Linked DNA regions of Rattus norvegicus. The main gene of each other region encodes a partner of the protein of the gene in region 2 in a complex. Links are inferred from orthologs where the notes say so. Each region holds a gene or a part of one and is shown on either strand. Other genes may lie near its edges. The genes, in order: Rictor, Rptor, Zfyve28 and Eif4ebp1.

Evidence for each region.
Region 1: Rptor (region 2) and Rictor share a complex: the UniProt entries of both Homo sapiens proteins name them as parts of the mechanistic target of rapamycin complex. The link is inferred for Rattus norvegicus from reciprocal best matches to the Homo sapiens genes RPTOR and RICTOR.
Region 3: the proteins of Rptor (region 2) and Zfyve28 are in contact, whole or in part, in a cryo-EM structure (PDB 9F43), measured with the Homo sapiens proteins. The link is inferred for Rattus norvegicus from reciprocal best matches to the Homo sapiens genes RPTOR and ZFYVE28. Residues at the interface, in NP_065812.1 of Homo sapiens: Arg54, Arg305, Arg306, Thr317, Asp321, Phe337, Arg338, Leu341, Ala344, Arg348, Leu437, Gln438, Leu440, Leu441, Ser442, Gln443, Arg446, Pro474, Tyr475, Lys478, Leu479, Gln481, Ser482, Ser483, Ala484; in NP_066023.2 of Homo sapiens: Arg399, Val400, Phe401, Phe402, Met403, Asp404, Asp405, Val406, Glu407.
Region 4: the proteins of Rptor (region 2) and Eif4ebp1 are in contact, whole or in part, in a cryo-EM structure (PDB 6BCX), measured with the Homo sapiens proteins. The link is inferred for Rattus norvegicus from reciprocal best matches to the Homo sapiens genes RPTOR and EIF4EBP1. Residues at the interface, in NP_065812.1 of Homo sapiens: Arg54, Arg305, Thr317, Asp321, Phe337, Arg338, Leu341, Ala344, Arg348, Leu437, Gln438, Leu440, Leu441, Ser442, Gln443, Arg446, Tyr475, Lys478, Leu479, Gln481; in NP_004086.1 of Homo sapiens: Glu111, Ser112, Gln113, Phe114, Glu115, Met116, Asp117, Ile118.

What each region holds. Positions count from the first base shown.
Region 1 is NC_086020.1:57,614,687-57,621,453, forward strand, and holds part of Rictor (rapamycin-insensitive companion of mTOR), read left to right. Parts: intron 1-1,285; coding exon 1,286-2,294; intron 2,295-2,567; coding exon 2,568-2,639; intron 2,640-4,394; coding exon 4,395-4,572; intron 4,573-5,413; coding exon 5,414-5,498; intron 5,499-6,443; coding exon 6,444-6,677; intron 6,678-6,767. UniProt on the Homo sapiens protein: Component of the mechanistic target of rapamycin complex 2 (mTORC2), which transduces signals from growth factors to pathways involved in proliferation, cytoskeletal organization, lipogenesis and anabolic output.
Region 2 is NC_086028.1:105,668,715-105,675,481, forward strand, and holds the end of Rptor (regulatory-associated protein of mTOR), read left to right. Parts: intron 1-341; coding exon 342-448; intron 449-1,964; coding exon 1,965-2,092; intron 2,093-2,441; coding exon 2,442-2,528; intron 2,529-3,505; coding exon 3,506-3,622; intron 3,623-3,981; coding exon 3,982-4,111; intron 4,112-4,852; coding exon 4,853-4,921; 3' UTR 4,922-6,699; downstream 6,700-6,767. UniProt on the Homo sapiens protein: Component of the mechanistic target of rapamycin complex 1 (mTORC1), an evolutionarily conserved central nutrient sensor that stimulates anabolic reactions and macromolecule biosynthesis to promote cellular biomass generation and growth.
Region 3 is NC_086032.1:80,690,059-80,697,447, forward strand, and holds the start of Zfyve28 (lateral signaling target protein 2 homolog), read left to right. Parts: upstream 1-2,938; 5' UTR 2,939-3,113; coding exon 3,114-3,152; intron 3,153-7,389. UniProt on the Homo sapiens protein: Negative regulator of epidermal growth factor receptor (EGFR) signaling. Acts by promoting EGFR degradation in endosomes when not monoubiquitinated.
Region 4 is NC_086034.1:71,504,745-71,512,080, forward strand, and holds the start of Eif4ebp1 (eukaryotic translation initiation factor 4E-binding protein 1), read right to left. Parts: upstream 4,102-7,336; 5' UTR 4,050-4,101; coding exon 3,908-4,049; intron 1-3,907. UniProt on the Homo sapiens protein: Repressor of translation initiation that regulates EIF4E activity by preventing its assembly into the eIF4F complex: hypophosphorylated form competes with EIF4G1/EIF4G3 and strongly binds to EIF4E, leading to repress translation.

The DNA.
Region 1 (6,767 bases), on a different chromosome or scaffold from region 2:
AATTGAACTAGAATATATTTGCTGAGAGAGTCACATGTCTTGTTATGCCTTTGTTTCCCTTCTAAAACAAATACATTATTTGGTTACTCCCAGACATCTTATTTAGGTTTTGGTTTTTTTCTTGCATAGACTTTTTATTTCTTTTCTTATAGTTAGGTTTAAATTTGTTTCACCAGTACCAGCGAAAAAAGAAAGGAAAGGAGAGAGTTTAGGTCTGCATGCACACCATACTGATTAATTATACTTATTAATTATTGAAAATATACTAATTAATCTAAAAATTAAAGTAATACTACTCATTAGATGTTAAAATAGTGTGGGAAGCCACTGATGTCACTGAGTTATAAAGCCCCTGACCCTTTCCTGTAAAGTTCTGGGTTTATGTCTCAGAACTAGAGAGAAAAAAAGGAAATAGGCGCATTGCTAAAAGATAGAATGTCAGAGAGAAATGATGTGAGAAGCAGGTGATGGATTCAGTCTGTGTTGGTGCTATGAGTTACAGAAGTGAAGGCATATTTCTTTGCTTTACAATCATAACACAGGTAAGCAAGGTAGCACACACTTTAATCCCAGCAATTGGGGTGGGTGGGGGGCAGAGGCAGGTGTATCTTCATGTTTTACATGCCAGCCTAGTTTACAGAGCAGGTTCCAGGACAGCCAGAGCTGTCACAGAGAAATCCTGTCTCAAACAGCAGCAGCAACAACAAACTAGATAACAAACTAGGCCTGGTCACACAGGCCTCAGGGTGCTCGTGCTAGAGATCACAGAGCCTGTCTAGGCTACAGATATCAAGAAAGGTACAGGTTTATAATAAGCACCTTTCTATGCGTATTTTTGGTCTCTAGTTGAACCCATATGTGCATAACTCAGATGTGGAGGGCTGCAGTATATGTCAAGTTTAGGGAATCCACTTCTTCTAAGGTGGTATCTCCTGCCACTGTAATGTAAAGAAGAAGCCTTGCCACTGGTCTTCCTTCACTTAACAGAATGAGCGGCCATGCTCCAGAGTCCTTTCACTTTATCTTGAATGTTTTGAAAAATCAGTAGAAACTTCATATACTCTGTACCAGCATGAGCCTTGTAGTTTTTCTTCATAGATCCTCACCATGATACAAATACAATCTTCTATTTTTTTTTAAAATTGGTATCCTAACTTTGAGCTTCAGGGAGGCAGTATTATTAATTAATCCCCTTCCCCATGACTGGTTAAAAAGATACGGTAGCACTTAGCATTGTGCCAAATTCTTCGTGTTTGCATTCTTTGAGCTGACGGTTCAATTACAGGCATGTTCATACTGGAGGATGACCGGTTTGGCAGCAGCTCTACCAGTACATTTTTCCTTGACATCAATGAAGACGCCGAGCCAGCATTTTATGACCGACCTGGACCCATAAAGGATAAAAATTCATTCCCCTTTTTTGCCTCTAGCAAACTTGTAAAAAATCGTATCTTAAATTCACTTACTTTGCCTACTAAAAAACACCGAAGTAGCAGTGATCCGAAAGGAGGGAAACTGTCATCTGAAAATAAGACAAGCAACCGGCGAATCAGAACATTTACAGAGCCCAGTGTTGACTTTAATCACAGCGATGACTTCACGAACATCTCCCCAGCACAGAAAACATTGCAGCTAGAAACTTCCTTTGTTGGGAATAAGCACCTTGAAGACACTGGCAGCACTCCAAGTATTGGAGATAATGACTTAAAATTCCCCAAGAGTTTTGGTCCAGAGAATCACAGAGAAAACACAAGCCGAGAAAGGCTGGTTGTAGAAAGCTCAGCAGGCTCACATATGAAGATCCGCAGCCAAAGCTTTAACACAGACACTACAACGAGTGGCATCAGTTCCATGAGTTCGAGTCCCTCCCGAGAGACAGTTGCTGTAGACTCTACAACTATGGACACAGACTGTGGAAGTCTGAGTACTGTGGTAAGTACTAAAACTGTTAAGACGAGCCACTATCTGACACCACAGGCTAACCATCTGTCTCTCTCCAAATCGAACTCAGTGTCCCTGGTGCCACCAGGTTCTTCTCATACCCTTCCTAGAAGAGCACAGTCCCTTAAAGCGCCCTCCATTGCAACAATAAAAAGCCTAGCAGATTGCAACTTTAGCTACACAAGTTCTAGAGATGCCTTTGGCTATGCTACATTGAAAAGATTACAGCAGCAAAGAATGCACCCATCCTTGTCTCACTCTGAAGCTTTGGCATCACCAGCAAAAGATGTGCTCTTTACCGACACCATCACCATGAAGGCCAACAGCTTTGAGTCCAGACTGACGCCAAGCAGGTGAGCAGTAAACACTGAAAGACGAGTCAGAATGGTTTGACTGTAACAGATGGAAATGTAAGACATGAGTCAGCTTGAGCACCACAGAGACTAAGTCTCAGAACTGACCCAGTTGCCAATGTAGGCTGTGAGCTCCTCGTTACCTGATAGGATTTTGAAATGGATTCTTGCAGCCGCGAGGGGGGAAATAAACTCCATTAGGCCCTGAAAATAAGCGTGTTTGCAAGGTTACAGAAGTCACAAGCGTTTTTATTTATTTCTCGCTTCTGCAAGGATCGATTTTAAAAAGAAGCATGTCGGGGGAATCAGGAGCTTAAGACCTACAATAGCAAACAACCTTTTCAGGTAGGTCAATTTAAAGCTCCAAAAGGTGACCTCTTACTATTTTTTTAAAATAACTGAAAGCCTCAGTTAAATTATTTTAATTTGTTTTAAGTACACATAATTAAATAGGAACCTAATAAACACTAAATGAATTCCAGGGCCCTCAAGACTAAGGGAGAGATTCTAATTTTATATTAAATAATCCAAATTTAGGGTGTATCAAGTATAGTTTAGGTTTGTTTTTTTACAATGATACACTTTGAAATTTGATTGTTGTAAAAAGTTCCGAACCTGTGCTTGTTGAATTATATCCACTTATGATTTATACTTTTTTAAGCAGACTGCTAGGTGTCAAGTAGTTACTTCACCGTGGGAAAGAGAAAATAAGCCCTCATTTACAGGATAGTCTCACTATCAGAATTGGGAGTTAACTTATGTAATGGTCACTCATTTCTGAGTGTTAGTAACATTTTTAAAAAAGAAGGTCCTGTTAGCAGATAGGAAATTTTGTCCCCTCTTTAAAAAAAGATTACAATAATGGTTGTTGTAGCTGGAAGTCTGTGGCTCTGCAGTCTTCATGAATGGAGGACACAGACGTGAGACATAGGTAGAGGGCCACAGCTGAGCAGCAGAGCTGGTGCAGTAGTTGTCTGGGCCTCTGTAAGCTTGGCTACTAGAGACGAGGCTAGACCATTGGTTTTAAACTTTTAAGTAAGATGCTGCTTTCTAAGCAGAAACTTTTTTTCTCCCTGAGGGATGTCTATACAAACCCAACAATCAATGCATTTCAAGATGGAGCTATGGTTCCTTAAAATAGAATTGGAAAGTAAAATATTCCCTTAATTCTCCCAATTCCAGTAGTCCCTGAAGAGCTTTGTAGAATCAGAGATCTAACCTTGAAAAACTTTACCTTTCACAAAATTCATAAAGATAAGAAGCGGTTTTTTTGGAAATTAGAAATTGTTTTTGCTTCTATAATCTTAATGGCTACTATTTCAAACACATATTTCTTTTGTGTGTTTTGTGTGAAATAATCCTTTGATTTACATTTGTATTTTTTTTAAGACTTGGTTTTCCAGTTAGTAATGTGAGACATCGAATAGCGTTTCCTGTATTTAACAAGGCACACACAGAGTGCACAGTGTCTTGCATGTAGTAATGAGTATGACAGATTACACTTACAGAGACGTCCATATGCCATGGCTGTAGAATCTTGTGAAGAGTGTCCAGAAAAAGACTAGTGTTCAGTGAGATGTCCTTGTAATATTTACAAATGATAGGATTTTACTCCTGTGTGCACCTTGTGTGTTACAGAAAGCTCATGTGATAATGATAGCATTATAGCACACAAGATTGATAACTAATCCTACTCTTCAGAACTGCATTGCTTGGTGTTAGTGGATATCTCTTTAGCTGTACAGTCTAGCAAGTCTAGCATCTCTGCTGCGTGCAAAGGCAGACTTGGAGCTGCACTTAGCGGTAGGTTAGTTTCCTTTTCTCTGAGTATTAACATTATTCTCTTTGCCTACCTTCTCATCTTTCCCTGGGGACGAAAGAGTTGTTCTTTGGGCGACATTGACAGTACTGCCGACCTGGTCTCTGATACCTAGCAGCTAATGTTAAAGTGCTTCTGTACTCACAGGAGACGGAGGTGCTGCTGCCTGCTGGTTGACTACCTGCTCGGATGGTAGTACAAATTGGGAGTTCTTGCTGTTTTTAACCTACTTACCAGTGCAAATAAAGACGCTAATGCAAGGTGTTTTTGTCATGTTACAGGTTTATGAAAGCTTTAAGTTATGCATCATTAGATAAAGAAGATTTATTAAGTCCTATTAATCAAAATACCCTGCAGCGATCCTCCTCAGTTAGGTCTATGGTATCCAGTGCTACATATGGAGGTTCTGATGACTACATTGGACTTGCTCTTCCAGTAGACATCAATGACATATTCCAGGTATTCAGAGTGCTTCTGTTTTCTATGAGATGGCTTCGTGTTTTGTTTTTAAATGTTCTGTAGCTCCTTATTAGGAATTGTAGTTTATAGAGGGTATACTCTGAGCTGCTCTGTATAGTCTGCTCTTGTGTGCTCCTCTTCAGAGGCTGCAGTCTCTAGCCAGTTTCCTTTGTTTGACTGGCGTTAGCCCCTTGTGGTATCCATATGCAGTAGCCCTGCTCCCATGAGATATACACAGTTCCTAGTTGCATGTGATAGTTCTGAAGAATACATATTTTCTTAGATGACTGTTGTAGCATTTCTTCACTCTGTTTTTCTTTGTGTGTACAGTAGAAGTGTGGGTGCGTGTGTGTGTGTAGGTCCATATGCCTGTAGTAGACAGAGGAAGTTGTAAGTCATCCTGCTTAGTACTTTGCCTTTCTCCCTTGACACGGGATTGCTCCTAGAATCTGAACCCAGGCTGGCAGGCAGCAAGCGTACGTCACTGTCTCCATGCTTCATGGCCATGTCTGACGTGCAGATAGCCATGTGAACACATCCAGCATCTTATGTGCATGGTGGGGATTATCATACATGTACAGCAAGCACCTGAACCCACTGAGACCATCCCCAGCCTTACATAAACAGTACCCACTCAGTTCACCAGGAACATGGTTAAAGAGGAGACTAGTATTTGGGTATATTTTGGTAATTTTAATCTTCTTTAGTAAGCTTTGCCTTCTAGATTTGTATGCTACAGTAATTCTATTTCTGTAACATTTCCTTTAGTTCTTAATTTCTTAATATTCATAAGGTGAATTTCTTTGTATGGTGAAACTGACATGATTTGTGTGCATTGCAGGTAAAGGATATTCCTTATTTTCAGTCAAAGCATGTGCCTCCACCAGATGACCGAGGTGCAAGAACGTTCTCCCATGACGGAGGAGGTAATGTGCTCCCTGTTCTCTGAGACGTTTAACTTTAAAATGAAAGTCTCTTTTTAGTGAGATAACACTAAAAATTAGGTACACTAAACTCAGGGGTTTATTTAAACACTAAGACAAAATAATTTATTCAACTAAAAATTAAAGCATATTTAAAAAATTTTTTTATTTTATTTCTTACTTACCCACTTTACTTATACACTTTATTGGCCCCCTCCCGGTGACCCCCTCCTACAACCATTCCCCATCCCTTCTCTGAAGGAGGAGACCTGGGGGCTTCCCCAGGTATCATCTCCCATCCCCACCCCCTGCGCCTACCTCCTGCTCTGGCGCTTCAGGTGTCTGCCAGGCTAGACCTTCCTCTCACTGAGTCTAGTAGAGCATATCCCGTATACAGATAACAGTAAAGCACATTTGTTAAGAAAATGTTTTTGCAGTGAAGATCCCAGCCTCTTAAGTTGATAAAATCCAGTTCTTTCATTTTTTTTAAAGTGTAAGAGAAATGTTCAAACTGGCTTTTTATAGGTCAGAGACACAGCTGTTGAGAAAGAAAGACGATGAGGATTTGCTTATTAGTCACACATTTATTCTGTGCTATGAATTGTAGGGAATGTGTGCATGTGAAGCATAAACTCAATGCTTTATAATCTCATTTAACTTACACTTCTTAGAAGTACTGATTTTGTTTAAGCAATTATGGGAGTTAATTGAAATACTATGATAATCTGTTTTTCAGTTGTATTTAAAAAACCTTATATTGAAACAATAAAGGAATATGTGCTGTTCTAATTTTCATAATTTAAAATACAGTATTCTCTTTCCTTCCTAATAAAAATTAGATGTTGGGTCACAGAGAGTTCTAACTATTTATCTTTAAACAGTACTATTTTAAGACATGAGAGATACCACAGTGTCTTTATCGGACTGTGTTCTTACTTGAACATGCAGGCCTTCCCTCTGGAACCGGTAGTCTCGTGAAGAACTCTTTCCACTTGCTGCGCCAGCAGATGAGTCTCACAGAGATAATGAACTCTGTCCACTCGGACGCATCTCTGTTCTTAGAGAGCACAGAAGACACTGGACTGCAGGAACACACAGATGACAATTGCCTTTACTGTGTCTGCATTGAAATCCTGGGTTTCCAGCCCAGTAACCAGCTGAGTTCGATCTGTAGTCACTCTGGTGAGTGGTGCCTTTGATTTTCCTCCGCTCTGTTCACAAGCCAGCCAGCAGCCCTGCTACTGCTGTGATGGCCTTTGTACTCCATCTCCC
Region 2 (6,767 bases):
CTCCGTCTGGGCACTCAGCATTGTATGCTGTGCTAGAGCATCCAGGTACCCATGGCCTATATAGAACCTCTGCTTCTAGGTGTTCTGACTTAGCCTGGAGGCCCCTGAAAGGTGACCTGCTATTTATGTCTCAGAGTTAGAGAAGATGTATTTGGTGTACAGAGATTCTAAGACCCTGTTGTCCTGTGATTCAATGCCATGAATGGGTGGAGTGTATAAGGTTCTGGGAGAGCACAGAGCTCATCGGAGAATTGTTGCAGGAACCTGGCCTTACATGAGTGAGGGGGATGCCCCATCCTGCCTGAGCCATTGTTTGACATGGTGACTCCACTGTTTCCCAGGAGCTGGGATGGTGGTGGACTGGGAACAAGAAACTGGCCTCCTCATGAGCTCAGGGGACGTGCGCATTGTCCGGATCTGGGATACCGACCGGGAGACGAAGGTCCAGGTAACCACTACAGGCCCCTGCACAGACCCCACTCTTTACCGTGCCTAAGCCTTCACACTCACAAAACAGACCCCTCATCAGTCAGTGACTGCTATCCCGCTCTCTGTGTGGGGGAGGCAATGGCATCTCGCTGCCAGGTGAAAAGCTGATTAATTACTCCTGGATACACATTGATCATGGCACTTTGACCTGAGTTAGTTACAGCAGTAATTAAGGTTATGCTAACCCAAGTTATTTCCAGATATTGTTTTCTTCATGCAAATCAGGGAATATCAGGAATCAGTAGGGTGAAATATCTTACATGAGTACAGTTAACTGTTTGACATCTGCGTCTCTCTCCTTACCCTGGTGCTGTGCAGAAGGCAGGGCCCTGTGTATGCTAAGCACCTCCTCACTGCCCATGAGCTGGAATTTGGCCCCTTACTTAGACCACGTTTTATTTTCAAGATTGTTTGTTTGGGGACATAATTCTACCGTGTTAGACCAGTCCAGCTCCAAGTCTTCCATTTTGATTAGAGTTGGTTTTGCCTCAGATACCTGGGCTTCCTTGCCAGAGTCCAGTTGCCTCCTTCAGGTCCAAGGCAGGATCACAGGTCCTGTAAGGACAACACACACATAGCTGAGGGACGTCTGTCTTCCTGGTGCCCAAAGACACAGAGCACAGACTAGGCCGCAGCACTCTTCAGCCTGCCCTGCCCAAGTGGAGACCTGGACAAATCATGGACCTCTCACAGAACAGAGGGGCAGAGCAGGCTGGAGTGACGGAAGCTGGTGAGACTTGAGGCCTGTCTACCAGCACCGGCTAGACGCTTCCATGCATCCTCAAGCCCCATAATGCCGCCAAACAGTTAAACACTGTCTTCCAGGGTCCCTGTCCCCACAGGGAGATGGTGTGGGGTTCCTGCAGGTACAGAGCTCCTTGGGTGACATCATGTCAGCTGCAAAGGCAGGAGTGAGGCTCTTTCACCACCTCCCCCATTCACACCCCCTCCCCATCCCGTGGGTTCCTCTCAGGCTCACCCCATCTGATTAGAAAGCACTTTTCCCTCTGAGGCCATTTCCAGCTCCAGTTCCTTCTTGCTTCCATTCATCACCCCTTGCCCTTCTGCAGTATTTATGGCCACCACAGGGAGCAGAGAAGCCTTTCCTTAGTGCTTCCCTGCCTAATTAGGGGTTTGAGGAGAGAGCTAACGAGGCTCCCTCCCTGCCAAAATGTGCTTCGTCTTTCTTTTCAGGAAAGGGAGAGATTGCTGGAAAGTTTAATTGGCACTGAGAGCCAGGCATCCCCACAGTTGCCTTCCAGACTGTACCCAGGCACAGGCTCAGGGCAGACGCTCACGCAGATCAGGCATGACTGATGCCCTGTGAGCCCTGCACTACCCTTGGCCCAGTTCCTCCAGCCTGTGATAGCCTTGCAGGTGGAGACCAGTTTCTCAGCCTGAGAGAGCAGAGGATATCTCCACAGAACATACTTCAGCCAGCTTGAGGCTCCTCACTGCTCTCTTTTTGGGCTTAGGACATCCCCACGGGGGCCGACAGCTGTGTGACAAGTTTATCTTGTGATTCGCACCGCTCACTCATTGTAGCTGGCCTGGGTGATGGCTCGATCCGTGTCTACGACAGGAGGATGGCACTCAGTGAATGGTAACTGTCACATCTCCCCTCTCCTTACCTTTCACTGTCTGGCTTCTTTAAGCTGACCCCACAGAGATACAAACAGTAGCCTCACTAAACTGCCATTGAATGCAGGACCAGGAGGTCTTCTTCATCCCAAAATGGCACTAAGACTTCAAGGCTAGAACTGGGGAAGTAGAGGCTAGAGAGATGAGGGGGGTGGCCTAGGACAGCCTAACTAGTGCCTCCTTGCTGGATGTCCTCCTGAGGCTCAGCCCAAGGGCAGGGCTGCCAGCTCCCGTTCACACCACTCCTCCTAACCCTACCCTGAGCAATGGGACAGGGCTGGGCCAGTCCTGACTACACCTTCCTCCTTTAGCCGGGTCATGACTTACCGAGAGCACACAGCATGGGTGGTAAAGGCCTACCTGCAGAAGCACCCTGAGGGCCACATCGTGAGTGTGAGGTAAGGAGTAAAATTTGCTGTGAAAACATTATTTTCCCTCCATTTAAATATGTCTTCGGTGTTTAAATAGCTAGGGACTGTTGGCATTTCAGGGCAGTAATTGACTCTGCTCTGTGACTGGCCAGCAAGGTCAGAGTGTGGAGCAAGAGTGGGGGCTGGGCTGGGCTGGGTTGGGGGGCTGGGCTGGGTTGGGGGGCTGGGCTGGGGGTGTTGGGGGCGCTGAGCTGAAGGAAGAGATGCACAGGCAGGTGTGTCCCTCGAGCAGGAGAGGCAAAGCAGAATGCATTGGGTGGCACATCCCCAGCAGGCCACCTTGTCGCCAGCCAGCCTGTGCACATAAATTCAGGCCTGCTGCTCAGTAAATACTGTGCTGAGAGCAGCGAATCTTTATTTGCCTGTTAAAGAGACAGCAGAGCATAATTTACTGTCACAAACCCACCACTTCTTCAGAGAGATGCTCTTCTCCCTTGTCTGTGGCATAAAGCAAAGCACAATTCTTGGAATGGACACTGAAGCAGAAGCCATAAGCCTAAGCCAGGTGATCTGGCCCCCTGTGGGGCTGAGCATCCACCAGGCCCCTCTGCCCTCTTCTACCTCATGGACTCTGCCTCATGAGCTGCAGCCTGCGATGACTGTTCCTGTCCTTGCTTGTAATCCCTTCTCTGACCCCGGTGTGTCCTGCTTTGTGAGCATGGCAGCTCCCTTTAGTCAATCCTAGTCTTTTCTGGCTTGAGAGGGACAGCTTGATGGGGACCCCAAGACCAGTGGGCATGATGTGGTGATCTGGGCTCCACCTGTTGGCCCTTGGAGGGGTCCTGGGAGTCTGCATAGCTTTGGCCTTACCAGCGTGTGCAAGTGGACATTGACACTTTTCATGGCCAGTTTCACATCCTTCAGAGTCAGGTGCTCCCCCTAGGGGCTCAGGTAGTATCCCTAAGGATGCCACCAGCAGGCATCACCCTGGTCCTCTCTCGCAGTGTCAATGGAGATGTGCGATTCTTCGATCCTCGGATGCCTGAGTCTGTGAATGTAATGCAGATTGTGAAGGGGCTGACAGCCCTCGACATCCACCCCCAGGCAAACCTGATCGCCTGGTAGGTACCCTGCCTCCATGCAGCCCCTACTTCTAAGCAAAAGTCCCCTTGAGAGTGCTCATCCCTTGGCTCTGTCCTCCACAGTGGCTTTGGAAGAGGGTGTAACTTTACTACCCCGAAATAAAAGCAAAAGAAGTCTGTGTGCCTTAACCTGCCCTCTGTGCATCTCGGGACAGGCCTGGTTCTTCCCGGCTGTAACCAATGAGCAGTCACTTCCTGCCTCAGGGTGACACGCAGATGGACAGCCTAGCCTGTGCCCCACATGCTGGAACTCTCAGCCAGCACCCTGGACTGTCTTTCTCCTGCACCTCAGGGAAACAGAAACTAATATCCTGACCGTCTTTCCCTCCCTACCACAGTGGCTCCATGAACCAGTTCACAGCCATCTACAACGGCAATGGGGAGCTGATCAACAACATCAAATACTACGATGGCTTCATGGGCCAGCGAGTCGGGGCCATCAGCTGCCTGGCTTTCCACCCACACTGGGTCTGTGCCTTCACTCCTGGGTTTTGGGGGTGGGTGGAAGGGTAACCCAGGAAGCTGGAGTCCTCCTTCCTGACTCCAAGAACATAAAGAACTGAGATCTACTATTCTTGGGGTATCCAGAAAAACATTGTCCGGCCCCTAGAAACCAAACCCAGTTCTTTTTTTTTGGAGCTGGGGACTGAACCCAGGGCCTTGCGCTTGCTAGGCAAGTGCTCTACCATTGAGCCAAATCCCCAACCCCCCTAAACCCAGTTCTTAATGCTCAGGTAAACTAGATAACACAGAGGGAGAGGCAGCTAGTGTCCTCTGGTGTGGGGAGCAGTAGGACAGTGTCGCTGAACACTTGTGTCCATAATGTAATCACGCAGATGGATTGTTGGATGGTTAGCATTTTGCAGAGCGGGCTCCACAGGAACCTGTGTGTAGCATGTTGAGGTGCATAGCATCAGATTCCCAGAACCACCCCAGGGGGGCAATCCTGAAAGGAAGCTGCAGGGAATTGTGGGTAGTATGCAAATCACCTGTAATGCAATTTGGATGATGTATCATTCCTGCTCGAATCTGGCAGTTAATGACCCTCATTTCTGTGCCTGTGTGGAGTTCAGAGGTGTTAATCCTCACCCCCACTAGAGCTCAGCACAGAGCACAGGCAGCCTGCACCCCTTCCTCTGGCTCTGCCCAGTGCTGCAGCTCCTACCGCATCACAGGCCCTGCTCATGTGCTTCTGCTCTCTCCACACAGCCTCATCTGGCCGTCGGAAGCAATGACTACTACATTTCTGTATATTCGGTGGAGAAGCGTGTCAGATAGCGGCACCTCGGACTCGTGCCAGGCTGCAGCCACCCTCTGCTGTACATAGCGAACCAGCCTGCACTGCTCAGGATCAGTGCCCACCTCCCACCCACCTGCAAACCCTGGCTCCTGGCCTGGCGTGGCCAGCTGAGGAGGGGCTTGCACATCCTCCCTTCTGTCTTCACTGTAATGTGCAGGTCCAGAGCAGGGGAGGGTTTGACATGGCTTCCCATCGAGAACCAGGACCCAGGCACCAAGGGCCTCCTCAGTACAGCATGGTCCTTTCCTGCCCTGTTTCCTTCTGAGGTTTTACAAAGGAACACATTTGATTTTTCCATGCGATCAAAGCATTAGTCACAGAACAGACAGCACCCTGGAGAAAAGCTATGTTGGGGCTTCTGAGGGCTGTGGCCCAGCCCCTCAGAGTAGGAAAGTAGATGGAAGCAATTGAGGGAAGAAGAGGGGGGAGGCCTCTCCTGCTACTCAAGGTATGGAAGTGTGAGCCTGGCCCTCCTAGAGCACTGAGGCAGTCCAACACACTGGCTATGTCATGGTGGTATGAGGAAAGGGATCCCCGTCCTGCACAGCTAGAACTCTGAGGTCCAGTCTGGTTCCCTCACATGAGCTGGTGCAGGAGAGGGTCTGGTTCTGGGCAGATGAGGCAGATCTGTAGTCAGCGGCTGCCTACCTCTGCCAGGCACATTCTGAAGTGCTTCTCTCCCACAGGCCAGTAACAGTGGCCACAGCCCTGTCTCCTGCTTGTGCCACACACAGGCACACACACATGCAGGCACACAGCGTTCCTATCCATGCTTACATGGGTGTCCTGGTCTTCCTGCCTGTGCACACTTGGGTGTGCATTCGTGCAGGCCCACAGTCTCCCCTCCTGCACATATATGGGCACTGTGGCCGGCCATATGCACACGCATGCTGGCCTCACCAGGTTCAGAGACTACGCTGGACCCAGAGGCTCGAGGGCAGCATCAGCTGTGTTGGTGTGACTGAGGTTGCATGATGCAGTCTGTGTTGTGGAGGAGTTCAGCAGTGTCCTGGTGTGCCTGACACGTGTCTGTGCACATGCAAGTGAGGGACACTGCATTGCTGAGCAGTTGCACACAAACAGGACACAACACAATGATGTTTTGAAAAGCATTTTACGTTTTCCCTGGGAATCAGGATCTTTCAGAGGAGGACAAGCGCCCACAGGAGCCCGGGACACAGGTTGGGACAGCTGTGGCAGAGGCTGGGTCCCTGTGCTGTGCTTGGTGGACCTGTTTTAGCCAAGAGCATCTTCCCTGTGGAAGGATCCCTACAGGCCAAGCAGGGCAAGCAGGACGGGTAGGCGCTGGTGCTGCCCTGGAGATGCACTCTCCCAACATGGAGGAGCTTAGAGGAAGTCATCCCCTCAGTTGGGCCAGACAGCAGTGTGGCGTCAGGACGGCCCTAGAACCACCTGACTTGCCACCTTCTCAGTTCTGCAGAGTGCTCCAGGGGGTGGGTATCCTTGTCCAACTGGTGATTCAGTTCAGCAGCGAAGGGCCCTGGTGGGCTGGGTCGCTTCCCTGCCCAGTGGAGCCAGCGTTTGCATCTTGCCCAGAGGCTGGGCCTTCACAAGCCTGATGCGAAAATTCAATCATGAAGCTAACCAAGGCTCGAGAGAGCGCTGACCTAGAGTTCATTGTCTCTATTTATTTTACCAAAATGAGAGTTGAAAAGGACTGACAAGACACAGGACTGCAATGGTGTCCAGAGCAGTGACAGCAGCAGAGTGTTAATAAAGAATAAAGCCGTGAGAAGTCGCTGCCCTTGCCAGATGAGAACGGTGGGGTGTGGGTGGTCCAAAGGGCTGTGCAGTCATGACTTC
Region 3 (7,389 bases), on a different chromosome or scaffold from region 2:
GAATGGACCTCGGTAGAAAGATTCAAAAAGAATGAATGGAAGAACCAAACTGAAGGTGGGAGGGAGCTCCTGGGGGCCTAGTCTGCTTCTAACTATCCAGCCTGACCCCTCTGCTCACTGTGGGGTGAAGGTTGCCTTGTAGGAATCTGCACCCCCACCTGTGGCAAAGAGCCGGTGCACCCTGAGGGTGGGTAGACCCTGAACCCCCTCAGAAACTCACCTAAAGCTTGATCAAAGCTATCATGTCTATGGCTACAGAACAGGCACAGGCTCGGCCAACTATGAGGCATGCTTCGAGTCCCTCAACTTTACTTATTTCCAACTTATTTTTGGTTTTATTTTTGTCTTGTTTATTGTTGTTTTGGGGAAGGTGGTCTTGATATATAGTAGAGGATGGCCTCAAACTCTCCATCCTCCTGCCTCTGCTTCCTTAGTGCTGGGATCACATGCCCACATAGTCACACCTAGACTCAGCTTTACTTAAAAGAATGTATTTGTCTGTGTGCTTGCTTTGCGAGGGAGAGACAGAACCCACTCATGCACTGGGTTCTGGTCCAACACTGAGGCACATCCAAGTGCCTCAGCTTTTAGTTTACAGGTGAGCATTGAGACCTGGTTCTTGATCGATTTCCTCTATATGTGGCTCTTTAACTCCCTTCTCCAGTAAGGGCTCAATGGTCTGGCACTTTAGGTACCCTGGAAGGCAGGCTGAAGCAAGCAAGGAGGGTTCATTTCTATCAGATACAACCCACTACTACAGTCTCAGCCACGCCATCTCTCACGTATGTTTGAAAATGTCTTCTTTCCCCGGAACTATGGCTGCTCTGCTAAGTGTTTTGTCTTACCCCGTCGAGGTTTTGTCTTTTACTGTGTATCATAATGCTAAGTGCGGTGGGGGGGGGTTGGGAGTTGGGAGTTGTGGAGTCTGCACACAGACCTAAGTGACCCCGCCCCCCACATTATTTCTGATTGGTAAAGAAAGATGTCAACAGTCAATAGCTGGGCAGAAGAGTCATAGGTGAGGTTTAGGTTTCCTGGGCTTGGGGTCAGAGGAGGAGGAGGAGGAAGAAGAAGGTGCAGGAGGAAGGAGGAGAAGCCACCATGGGTTAGGTGAGCCCTAAAAATGTGTCCCTGAGGGCTGGCCAATTGGAGGTAAGAGCAGCCCAGATGACACATAGTAAGTAATAGTTCGTGGGTATCAATAGGAAAGTAGATTCTAATTGCACATAAGGTAGGTATCTGCCCAGCTCTTGTGCTGTTTAAGGCTTACTGTAGATATAAAGGTTGTGTGTTTCTTTTATCTGGGAACTAAATGGTTAAAGGCTGCTTAGAAACCTCAGGATGGAATTAAAACTTTCTACAACAAGCTATGAAGCCACTCCTTGCAGCTTTCTCTTTCCTCCTGAATAACAAACCCTGACTCTCGCTTGGACCTATTGCTACCCAACTGGTTGGTGACATTTCTCAGCCTCCTCGGAAGCTGGCTATGGCTACGTGTACAAGTCCTTCCATCTCTGAGAAATACTAGAGGATACACTTTGGGAGCGTTAGCCTGAAGTGTAGGACATTCCTTTCTTCTCTTTTCCAGTGGGCTAATGGCTTTAGGAGGTGACAGCTAGAACCAGGGCAGCTGCATGTATCACACACATGCAGGGCCTATGAAGTCCAGAAAAGGGGTTTGGTTATTTGGAAATGGAGTAACAGAAAGTTGTGAGCAGTCATGGAGGTTGCTAGGAAGTGAACCTGGAGTCTTGCCAAGAGCACCCAGCATTCTCAATCACAGCGCCATCTCCAGTCCCATGCCTAGCTTTTTTTTTTTTTTTTTTTCTTTTTTCCTGTGAGTTCTGGCATGCTGAGCCTCCTTCTTCTAACAGGGCAGACACTTTACTGACTGAGTTATCTTCCCAGCCTCAGAAGCAGTTTTTATGATGGGAGAGCATACTGTTGTGGACATGTTGACTCTAAGGTGATCTGTTAGTTGTACAAATAGTGAGGGACAGGCAAACAGGTCTGAATCCAAGTTGGAGCGAAAAATGTTTGTTTGTGAAACCGCGTGGCTGCCTGGAACTACACAGAAATGGATGGAGAGCAGCTTACAAGGAGTAAGAAGTGAGCTACAAAGCTGAGCAGGTCCAGGGCTGAAAGGCTAAGGGAAGATGCTGGAGCTGCTAGAGGGTGCACACACTGTATTATCTGGGTCACCTGTTGTTAAAAGTAGGAGGGGGCTGGGTTCGGTCCCCAGCTCCGAAAAAAAGAACCAAAAAAAAAAAAAAAAAAGTAGGAGGGGGGGAGGGGGGATATAAATCGGAGGTGGTGGAAAGCGCATTTTATTTTAGGACGTGGGAAGAAGAGCGCAAAGGAAGCCTGCTAAGGCCAGAAAATCAGCAAAGATTTAAGAACTGGAGAAAACGAGTTAGCGAGAAGTGAGGATGGGCTGCGCCTGGCTCCCTATGGCGGTCCCTCACCTTAACCTGCTCGCCTACCTGCGGGCCTCTTGGCCTCCTTAGGCCTCCACCTGCCCCCGCGTCGTCTCTCCAGGCACCGCGGGCGGGAGCGCTCACTGGCCAGCTCCTGCACCCGCAGATCGCCTAAGCATCGTTTAGGCGCCGTCACCTAGCAACGCCGCTCAGGCCCTGCCCGCGGTGGGCGCTGGGACTTGTAGTCCTGAGCCGCCCTCCCTTGGTGCGCGTCTCGGGTGGGGTGCGGCTTGGCGCTGGGCGGGGATTGGCGGCCTCACCCGGCTCGCCCCATCCACCACTTGCTGCGGGCCGGGGGCGTGCGGCGCCTCCGGCGCATGTGCGGTCGTGACCAGCGGAGGCGCCGAGTGCTCGCAAGCCGTGAAGCATCGCGCACCCTGTGCCCGCGCCTTTCCGCGCGCCCGCCCGCTCGCGGGTTTGGGTCGGCCGCGCGCCGCTCGCTGAGCATCCTTCCGGCCGCGCACCTGCCCCGCGCACCTGCAGCCAGCTGCTCGGCGCTCTGTGCAGCGCTCAGGATCCGCTTGCTCAGGCAGGTCCCGGCCCTGCCTGCGTGTCCGCTCCGCGCCGCAGCCGGACCGGGGCGCAGCGCTGCAGAGGGCGAGGGCCGCCCGGAGCGTGGCCCGAGCCGGCGCGGCGATGATGAACAGATTCCGAAAGTGGCTGTATAAACCCAAGGTGAGCGGCTCCAGCTGCGGACCATGTCCCGGCGTCGCGCTTTTCCCCCTCCAGGTCCCTTACCCTGCAGGTCCCTCCTCGATTAGACAGACCTCGTTTCCCTGGCCCTGTATGAATCCCTCTCTCCGGTTCCTGCGATACCCTGTCCCTGCATTCCGCGACTTGGACAGACCATGAACCTGGCATGCATTGACCGCTCTTTTCCAATACCAGACAGGGCTCTTTCTTTCGGGCCTGGGTGTACTGGCCTGTTTCTTCTCGTCTGGGTACTAGATGGGCACCAGCCCGCACCCAGCGGTCCCAGACTGCGTGCTCAGAGCCCCTACTTCTCTTGGTTCCCTCTTGCCTCACCGCAGATGCTCCTTCATCTTTTCGCACCACAATTATTCTGGCCTAGAATAGTGGGTCTCCCAGCTTCCCTTCGCACTTGTGAACCGACCTTCTCACTCCCCTTTCTCCAATCCCTAGGCTTTGGTCAGACCCTTTCTTCCCTTATCTTTGAGGTCCCTCGCGCCGCGATCCGGTCCTCTATCCCAAACCGGGTTAATTGGATCTTGGTTCAGTTTGCATCCCTATCCTCGTCCGGTAGCCGCCTGCACCCTTTTGGATCTCCGACCAGTCCTCTGTCCAGTCTCCAGATGAGGCTCCTGGAGCCTGCAGCTTCTGTGGGCCGGAGGTGCGATTCACTAGCTAGTTCGGGTCCGGGCGGCGCGCCCTGAGCCTCGGCAGCCGCACCAGTCGCACTGCGGGCGCTGCGTCCCGCTGCCTGCCTGCCTGGGGCTGTCGTCTGGGAGCCGGACCCGGTGCGCTCTGCTCCGGGGTGGGCGACGCAATGCTAGGATCCAGCGAAGATCCAGGACACATCTGCAGCGCCCAAAGCTGCCTGTTGGGGGTCGGCGGAGTCTGGGGGACGCCAACGCTGGAGGTCTTCAGAGGGTCACGACCTGGGTGGGGTCACTGCAAAGACTAAGGGCGGGAGCAGTGCAGCCTCCTTCTCATTGGCCCACCCAAGCCACTGACCCTTCTCCCGCCGTGACTAGCCACATTTCTTGGTTTAGGGTTTCTTCTGTCCCAGACTCTGTGAATGGTCTCTGAGGTGGAGCGAGCGTTCTGGAGAGACAGCTAGTGTTTGGAAGACTGGCATTCGAGGCTTGGGGGACGTTCAGAGACCTGAAACTCTTATGTTTTTTTGTCTGCCAAGGTCGGGAAGTTTTTCCTCGGGTTAGAGAGTGTTGGGGTGAAGGCTTACAAAGCATGGGGCCGCCCTTGATCAGCCTTGGACTGACCAGAAGGTATTCTGGATTCTTGTTCGCTGGTGCAGCAGCGCTTCGCGCTCCTGTCTTCCTGGTAGCCGGCAAATATGGTGAGGGTGGGAGGGGGCGACCCTTGCAATGGGTGGGGGCGACCCTTGCAATGGGTGTGGTTTGAGTCTTTCTTGCTTTTAGCCACGCCCTAGGCGTCTGGCCCTCTCTTTGCTGCAATCCCTTCAGTGTGCTCAGTCCTGCCTGCGGTTGATTAGTGGGTCTGCTAGCGGCTGCAGCCGCTCCTGCCCTGCTTATCTGTACAAGGAGTGGTTTTCCCCACTGAGTGAGTTTTTAGCGCAAGCAAAACCAAACCAAACAACAACAACAAGACAAGTTTCAGTGCTGAAAAAGTCGCTGCAGGGGTGGGATTTACTTTTTCAATAACAAATGTCAGGGGAGCAGGTGGCACTGTTAGCATGCCAAGCTACATCCCTGTCTCTCAGAACGCTTGTGGAGCGCTCGGGCCTCCAGGTGCCATTTCCAGCAGAGCCACGGTGGGAAAGGTGTGTTCTGTGACCCTCCTCACTGTTGGAAAGGAAGGAGCAGTGCCTATGTACCGGTTGGTTATCGCCTATACCTAATTCACAGTGGCCTTCCTTTGAAGTTGTGCTTTCTAGGTGCAGACCATGGCAAGTGGAGCGCTGAGTTAGTAACTCTGGGTGATTCAGCCCAAAGCCGTGTACTTTTTAGAAGGGAAGAGATAGGTTAGATTGCCCCCCCCCCCAGCCCTCACAGCTGTTCTGTTCCTCATTGTCATTTCTCTGTCTGATACTGTCCTTGACCTCTGGACTTGAGCCACATCTCTGTCTGAGATCTTGCTCTGGCTATGACTTTCCCCCGGAGCTGGTGCCCTGAGGCCAGTCTAATCGTGAGGCATCTCTTCTTTGAGATCTGTCCTTGAACGTCAGTGTCTTGATTGTTTGAAGCATTTGGACTGTGTTAATGTCTTCCTAGTAGTTTTTTTCAAACCAAAGTTTAGATTTTTTTTTTTGGCCTCCGATTATGAACGATTATGTTTCTCCTTCCTACTGATTTGAATACGTTTTGACACAAGTGAGTTGAGAGTCGGTCCTGAGATGATTCTGGGCCTGGCAGAGTTAAATGTTAGCAGTGTGGGATGTCTGGGGGAGATTGCTTCAGACATGATCCCCTTTCACTTCCTATTTAGATACACTGCTTAAACAACATTTAAACGTAACTACTGCTTTGGTTTACATTTGGGGCTGGGGACCGAACCCAGGACCTTGCGCTTCCTAGGCAAGCGCTTTACCACTGAGCCAAATCCCCAACCCCCTGCTTTGGTTTAAAACTGAACACATACAGACCGTGTTCATAACTTGTGGTAGAAATATTTTGAAAAATGTTGTTATTCCTACAGTTCACCAAAAGCAAGGCTTAGATTATTTCCTCAGTGACAAAAGCTTTGGTTTCCAAAGCACTAAAATCTATTTGAGTTGGAGGGAAAACATACCCAGTGACAAATATAATAATGTTAAAATGATGTCTCAAAGCGTTATATCCTCATTGATTTTCTCAAAGTCAGCCTTTGAACAGCTTTCTTTTTCCTTGCTGAAGCACTCTCAGACTCCTGTGACCCTGGGTTTGGGTTTTCTCATGGTGTCTGTGAGAAAAAGGCTGTGGCTAAGGCTCAGAGGCTGAGCTGTCCATGTTGCTTAGAGAGTGCAGGTAAAGTCTTCCTCAGAAAGAATGTATGCTTCAGAAAGGTGAGGCAGTTGGTGACTGTCTCTGAAACAAAGGTCCAAGCTTGACTTTTGCTTGGCTGTAGCTTTCTCTGACTGACTGGGATGATATTGCCGGTTACCAAGAGGGAGGAAGTTGTCCTAAGAGGATAAGGGCTCTAGGCTGAGGCCCTGCCTGTGCTGGAATTCTTGGCTGTCATGGGCGAGCCTATTGTTGTACATGGAAGAACTGATTGGCAGGCAGTGCTGCTTGTCAGGGGTATGGGAGCGGTGGGCGTGGTATCTAGTTTCTGCACTTAGGCATGCACCCCACAGAGAGCCTTCTTGTCTCAGCTCCAAACCACTGCCAGGGGAGTGGCTATTGCCCCGCAGGCCGCTCCTTTCCAGTGGAGTTTTCTTGAAGTCCTTCACTGCCACTTCGTGATGTGGAGAAGCTGTTTGCAAACACTTAGGGTCAGATTACAGATGAGATGGCCCTCACCAAGGGAAGCCAGTGAGACTTGCTGGGTGTGTTTTCTATTAACAATAGTTTTTTAAAAAAATATTTATTTATTTATTTAGTGTGCAGGGGTCTGTGCTTGCCACCGTTCATACATGGAAGTCGAAGGACAACTTTCTCCATGTGACATATGTAGATAGAATTCAGGTCTTCAGGCTTAGTGGCAAGCGCCTTTCACATTGAGCCATCTTGCCAGCCCTTTTAATTAATTAATATGTATATATTATATGTGTGTATATATGTATGTGTGTACGTGTGTGTGGGGTGTGTATGTGTGTTTGTTGTGTGAGCATGTGTGTCTGTGTGTCTGTGTGGTGTGTCTGTGTATATGAATGTGTGAGTGTGTAGGAGTGTGTGTGTATGTGAATGTGTGTGGTGTGTGTGTGGTATGTGTGTATGTGTGTGAGTGTGAGAGTGTGTGTGTGTGTCTGTGTGGTGTGTCTGTGTGTGTGGGTGTGTGTGAGTGTGTAAGAGTGTGTGTGTGTCTGTATGGTGTGTGTGTGTATGTGTGTGTGTGGTGTGTGTGTGGTATGTGTGTGTATGTGTGTGTGTGGTGTGTGTGGTATGTGTGTATGTGTGTGAGTGTGTATGAGTGTATGTGTCTGTGTGGTGTGTCTGTGTGTGTGGGTGTGTGTGAGTGTGTATGAGTGTGTGTGTGTCTGTGTGGTGTGTCTGTGTGTGTATGAGTGTGTGTGTGTATGAGTGTGTGTGTGTGTGTGTGTGTGTGTGTGTGT
Region 4 (7,336 bases), on a different chromosome or scaffold from region 2:
GTCTATGTACAAAAACACAAAGCAAAATCACTGTGAGTGGGGCTGGAGAGATGGCTCAGATGTTAAGAGCACTGGCTGCGGGGTTGGGGATTTAGCTCAGTAGTAGAGCGCTTGCCTAGGAAGCGCAAGACCCTGGGTTCGGTCCCCAGGTCCCCAGCTCCGAAAAAAAGAACCAAAAAAAAAAAAAAAAAAAAAAAGCACTGGCTGCTCACCCAGAGGTCCTGAGTTCAATTCCCAGCATCCACATGGTGGCTCACAACTGTCTGTAATGGGATCCAATGCTCTCTTCGAGTGTGTCTGAAGACAGCTTCAGTGTACACATACACATAAAATAAATAAATCTTTTTTTTTTTGTTCCTGTGGAAGCAAGAAGAGGCAACCCCTCCAGCTAGAATCATAGTGGGCAGAGGTCCAGGGGCATCCTGTAGGTGCTAAAGGACAGACCTTCCCGAGAGCAGCACGCACTTTTTGACCCGAGCCATCTCTTCCGGCCCATGCTTGTACCAAATCTCAGCTGTATCTTCACCTGAATCCCAACCCTCCATGTCAGACTACCTTCCTAGTCAGGATGCAGGGCATGCCTTAAAAACCAAGAGGCCTCAAAGGGAGTTTAGAGTGCTCTACCCAACTCCTTCCAATTCAGTACTTATGTTCCAGAACCTAATGTATATTGTTTTGAACACTTTAAAAGGAAGCTTGGGTGTGTGAGAGAGAGATGGGGACCATTCTATCTCCTTGCTGGTTCGATATCCAAGCTCTCTCATTTGGCCCATAATAATATCCTCAGCCGTAACTTCTCCCCTCTATGTGACTAAGACCTCAGGGAGAGAAGGACATCAAGGACATCAAGTCACCAGCAGCAGCACCCAGCCCGCTCCCCTCTTCACAGCACTGCCAGAGCTAAACACTTGGCAGCCACCTCAAGGTTGGCTTCCTAGACAGAGACTTTTTTTCTCTGATAGGGTCTGGCTATGAAGGTCTGGCTGACCTGGAACTTACTATGCACACTGTAAACCAGGCTAGCTTCAACCTCACAAAGATCTTCCTGTCTTTGCCCCACGACATTCACCTTCACCACTAAACAAAGCAACGTCATTAACACCTCCCACCCTACCTGCTTGTCTGATGAACCTCACCCAGGTACTATTAGGTACGGCCACCCAAACAACTTCTGTAGGTTTCGGGGTCAAACATCCATCCTGGGCGCTCACTAGAAGATCCTGTTTATGACGTTGCTGGCAATCTTAGAGACTCCGAGCTTCAAATAGTCTTGTCTTCAAACACTCCCTCCAGAAATGTCTTAGGTTACCGAAGGGTTAATGACCACCGACCAGAGTCTCAGGAATGGGTCCCAGGAATGGATATTCAGGCCACCTGCTGTGTCCTTGCCACCAGAGGCAGCTGCTTCAAAGCCATCCTCAGCTGCAGTGGCTTCCTGCAGTATTTCTTCATGAGGTGCTTACAGCCCCTACAGGTCAAGCCACACGCCAAGGTGTGTAGAAAGCCTAAGTTCAAGAAACGTCAGCCTGACTTTATGCCTGGATGGAATCTACTTTGCCAGACTCATAAAGATCTGAAAGAGGGGGGAATCATATATATGTATATACACATGCATACACACACGCACACATACATACATACAAACATACACACATATACACACATGCACACACATACATACATATATACATACATTCATGGGTTTTGTTGCTGCTGGTCCCTTTCACCTGGAATTCCTGAGTTCTCAAAATGGAATGTGGCCGCTCAAACATATAATGGTTAGACAAATGACTCAGCCCAGCTTCAAGCTCACGGGCTTTATACACCTATAGATCCCGGAGGACATAGTAAATGTGTCCCAGTCGGCCCCTGATATATGTACGAAAATTCAAAAGCTAGATGGATTTTCAGGGAAGAATAGGGGAGAGCAAACAGAAATAGTCCAAAAGGTATTCAACAGCCAAGACAATAAAGAAAACCCGAATGGCTAGATGTGGCGGTGCACACGGTAACTCCCAGCACTCAGGGGGCTAAGGCCGCTGGATCTCTGTGTAGCCCTGGCTGTCCTGTAACAGGTCTCTGTAGACCTCTGCCCTCCGATTCTGTATTTAATCGGGGCCCTAAGTGATGAGAAACACTCCGGAGCAAATGGGTCAAGCTTCTGCAGGTTGGCAGAGGTGACCTGGAATGAATGGCCTTTGGGACAAGATCCCACTCCTAAACTAAAGAATAGGCTTGCTGACTTCGGCAGAAACAAGCAAGACTTTCCTCAGTTGTGGACCGTGCAACACAAACACACACACAATAACAACCACAAACAAACAAACAGAACTGACAAGGGCCAGCTGCTTTGGGGACCTGATAGCTTTCTCTCAGTTAAGAAGCAAATGCTTCTTCCTCTTCAAAGACAATAGGAACTGCCCGGTTGGCCAATGAGAACACTTCCCAGACCGCAGTGAGAAGTGGCTCAGAGTTCATTACAAACAGTACTGGCTGTTGCTACTCAGCTAACCTGTCCATCCAGAAAGAGAGAAAAAAGTTTCCCATCTCCGTGCCTTATTTAAAACAAAACAAAACAACCCCACCCAGATTCACACCTCACCTAAAAGGACTATACTGTCTGTGGAACTTTGTGCCCCACACAAAGTTCTGTGAAAAGACAAAAGGTGCAACAGCTTGGACTAAAAAGAGGCCAGGAGGAATGTAGGAGGCCAGAAGCCTGCAGAGAACTTTTCCTTGGCCATTTCTAATGAGAGGGAGAACGCTCTCTCCCCCTACCTGCTTGCTACTTCTTGCTGTGTCTAGGGAACGGCAATGCGTACAGACACGTGCTCAAGCAGCGAGGCCTTGGGACTGTGTTCTGAAGATCACAGCACTCACTGGACACTGATCTCCAAGATCCCTTCATCAGTAGCTTGGTTCTGGGATCTGGCTGTGCTCCCTGGTGTAGGGACAGCTGCCCGAGAAAATAGGCATGTGGCCTGGCTGCGCCGGCAGTGGCCCAAGGTTCACCACCGCGCCAGGGTTTCTCTTGTTTTTGAGTTGTAAGAGGAGTAGTTGGGGGAGGAGACCGGGGGAGGGGAGAAGCGCAAAAGTGGGTGGGAGCAGCGCGAGGATTGGGAGGGAAGTAGGGAGCCACGAGGATTTCATCACGCAAACGGGCGGGTAGGTTTCATCAGCGCCTATACTGGGGCTGGGAATGCCTGGTTCCCGGAGGCCAGCCCCCACCCGCGCCAACTCAGCTTCCTCTTCCTCATCCTCCGCCACTTGGGCGAATTCAGCGCTGCGCCCTGCCCCCAGGCCGGAGGAACGTGTTGTTCTGCACTACACCAGATGCGGCCCCTGCAGGGACCTCTCTCTCTCTCTCTCTCCTAACAGGCTCGATGCCACAGGTGGCCAAGACGTTCTTCTGAGGCAGGGAGCACCTCCAGCACCCAGCCTCCATTAATGAGCGAGTGTCCAACGCAAAAATGTGGGTTGCTCCCCGAAAAGGTTAAAAAGTGTGCAGGCGTCATTTATGCCAAGAGAGATCAACTAAACTTAATCTCCAGGCCACCCACTTTCCCTGATCTTGTCCTACCCTAGAACTACCCTGACACCCACAGAGGCAGCCCTTAAGCACATGGTGGTCCTGGCAGAGTGCCTATCTGTATGCTCAGGGCACTCTGCGGTGTCTCCCAGGAAAATTCTAAGGTAGGCAGTTTGCAGCCTGGTCTCCTGACCACGCTCCACCACACCCAGAAGGCGGGCAACCGAGACGGCGACCCTTCTGCTTTCCCGACGCCCCTTGTCCTTTCTGTCCAGCTACCGAACCCCCGTATGGCGCCCTCCCCGTCGCAAGTGAGACTCCGGATCCCGGCGTAGCCTCCAGCCCCCGAGGTTGCCCGGGACCCCGGCCCGCGCCTACCTCCCGGGGTGGTGCTGAAGAGCGTGCCGCCGGGGGTGGTGCTGTAGTCCCCGGGCGGGAGCTGCACGCCGTCGCCGAGGGCTACGCGGCGAGTGGGGATAGCCCGGCTGGGAGTCTGGCTGCAACTGCTGCCCGCCGACATGTCTCCTGCACGCCGCCCACGACCCTCCAGCAACCCCGCGGCACCTCGGCCCAGCCCTTCTCGTGCCCGTCCCGCCCCTTCCGCCTGGGCTCCACGCCCCCAGAGACTTGCGGTCCGCCCGGCCCCACCCAGCTCCAGCCCGCTGCCTGCAAGTGGTTCCCAGCTGCTGACCTAGGCAGGAACCCCAAAGCTGGCCCCTTGTGTTCCCCGGTTCCTCCCCAAGACTCTGGGAAGAACTATGTAGAGGCGACGGTGGCGGAGTTCTCCGATTTAGTGGCAGCGTCTCAGCGTACCAGACCGCCTGTTTTCTATATTAGGATGTGACCTCTCGATCCCGGGCCGTTCCAAAGAGAAGAAAGGGTGGGCTGATCCTTCGCCCTTCTTAACGTTTCTTCAGCTTTCCCCGGTACAGTAGGAGTCAGAGCAGTAGCTGCACAACGCACATTCCTGGACTTGAAAGGAGTGGTGGAAGAGTAAGAGGAAACTAGCCAGCCAGCTGGGAACCGAATATAAAACTGATAAGGAATGGGTAGGGACGGTGGGCTGGGAAGGATTAGAGTTGGTCAAAGAACCCAATAGTACCTGGATTGGGTTCTACTCCAGCACTTTGTCTGGTAGTCGCTAGGGAAGGAAAGGAAAATACATGTCCAATCGATTTCGGAGAGTCTGTGGCAGCCTCCAAGTGGTAGGATATGCCTATAATCCCCGCAGTGTGGAAGCTGAAGCCCTAGGAGGATCCCGAGTTGACAGCCAGACTACTTAATGAGACTCCATCTCAACAAAACATAGCATGTAAACAATAACAACCACGAATAGCAGAAAACCCAAGTTCAGAAACGGGCGGGGTTTTGCACAAGCTTTCACAGCTGTTGAATACACATCTGAGGCCAAGGTAGGGCCAGAACCCTGTTGTCATTGTTGTTCAGGCTAGCCTGAGAGAACACAGTAGGCCACCTTCCTCCCTTTGGGAGAAGCGTTTTGAAAGGAGTTTTGCCTTTTGCTTTGTTTGGTTGTTCTAGAGGCCCCAGATTTCCTGGAACTAAGATTTCAGGGAAGGGCCTGCTTACGAAGGCCAACATTCAAGCTCAAAATTCAAGTGCTACACACTTGTCCCAGCAATTACAAGACGGAAGCAGGAGAAGTCTAGCCTGTGCTACATAGCCAAACCCTGACTCTGACAAAAGAGAAAGCTGGAACTGGGCAAGCCAGCTCACATAGTCCTCGTACTGGAGAAACTGAAACAGGATTACCACAAAGTTGAGGCCAGAGTTATGGTGAGTTTGAGTCACAGCCTGAGCCAGACATGTAAGACCTTGTCTTAAACCGTGAAAGAGAGAGAAAAACGGGGCCAGGGGAAGCTTGGAATGCAGCATACTTGGTAGACAGTTTACCTAGTACACACTAAATTCGTGGTTAAATCCCAAACACCAACATAAAAACTGAATGTGGTGGCACTTTGTAAACTTGTAATCCCAGAACTCAGGAAGTAAAGGTTGGGGGATCAGAAGTTCAAGGCCATCCTCAGCTATATATCTATAGGCAACCTGTCTCAATTTTTAAAAGTAGTGGTGTGAAGGGAGTCTTAATAGCTATGAAGGCACTAAAAGACTGGAGATATCTAAGCTTGGAATCTCTTGGTTCAGAAACCCCATAGTCCCTTGTACAAAGATAGAGCTAGTGTGGTGGTTTGAATAAGAATGGCCCCCATACATTTGTATTTTTGGTCATCAGAGAGTGGCACTACTTGAGAAGGATTAGGAGGTGTGGCCTTTATTAGCATTCTGCCTAAGCTCCACCCCACAGTTGCCTGGCAACACCCAGGTATGCCTGACTCACAAAAAAGGAGTCTGCTTGCCCCCTCTTGCTCTCTTGCTCCTCTCTTCCTCTTGCCTTCCTGCCCCACTCTCTTCCCATTCCCCATCCTCCTCTCTCCACATGCTCACGGCCATCCTCTATGTCTCTCTCTCCTCTCTCTCTCTCTCTCTCTCTCTCTCTCTCTCTCTCTCTCTCTCTCTGCCCCTACTACCCTCTTAACTCCCCTCCCCATGCCCTGAATAAACTCTATTCTATACTATACTAGCATGCGGCTAGTCTCTCAGGGAGAAGGGATGCCTTCCCCCTTCTCACAGAGGCACCCCCTTCCCCCACACCTCACCACACATCCACAGAACATATCCCCCCTCTCTTCATCTTTTTATAAACACACCAGCCTTGTTAAAGGAAATGTGTCAATGAGGGTGGGCTTTGAGGTTTCAAAAGTCCAAGCCAGGCCCGATGGCTCTCTCTCTCTCTCTCTTACTGCTGCCTACAGATCCAAATAGGAAAGTCTCATCTACCTCTCCAGCACCATGTCTGCCTGGGTGCCACCATGCTCCCCACCATGGTGATAAAAGATTATCCCCCTAAAACTGTAAGAAGCCTCCATTAAATGTGTTCTTTTATAAGAGTTGCAGTGGTCACGGTGGCTCTTCACAGCAAGAGAACACTGACTAAGACAGCTACCCCTAAGGCACTCAGGTAGACTCGGGTGATTGCCAACAAGCCTACCACCACAGCTAGGAGGGACCTGAGCCTAAGGGTAAGCGCCATTTCCCAGCCTTCCACTAAGTAGCTCTCCTTTAATAAACTACAAGGACCCTGAGCATGGCCATTTTAAGAATTTTCTTACAAATTCTCTGCTCAATTCTGTCTCTCGCACAACCATTTTGCCCAGGGTGATTCCTGCCTCTTTCCGGGCAGGAATTCATTCATATCAAGTCTTCCAATTGAATATAAAAGGATATAGGGGGTTGAGATGGCCAAGCAGATAAAGGTACTTCATGCCAACTCTAACCTGAGTTTCATCCCTGTGAGAGAGCGAGAACAGATTCCCACAAAATGACCTCTTCCCTCTACATGAGCACCATAACGTATTTTTACATGCACCCTATGCACTTGCACAAAACAAATAAGTGTAAAAATTTTAATGGATATAAGAAGCTAGGCCGACATTGGTCCTCCCAGTACTTGGGAGATGGATTCAGGAAGATCAAGAGTTTAAGGCCATCCTGGGCTATGAAACACACTTCAAGTGCAGTCTGAAGCACACGACCCTGTCTGAAAGGGAAGTGGAGGAGAAAAGAGCCCCTCACAGGCAAGATTACACGTACTTCTCACCTCAGATGTGGAAGTGGAGATTCGTCACAGGAGCTAAGTAATCCTTCTGCAAGGGCTCTACAGGACCAGGTCTGACACTGCTACAGTCAGCATCAGACCTACCAAATTGGGATTGTAGTCACAGAATGGTT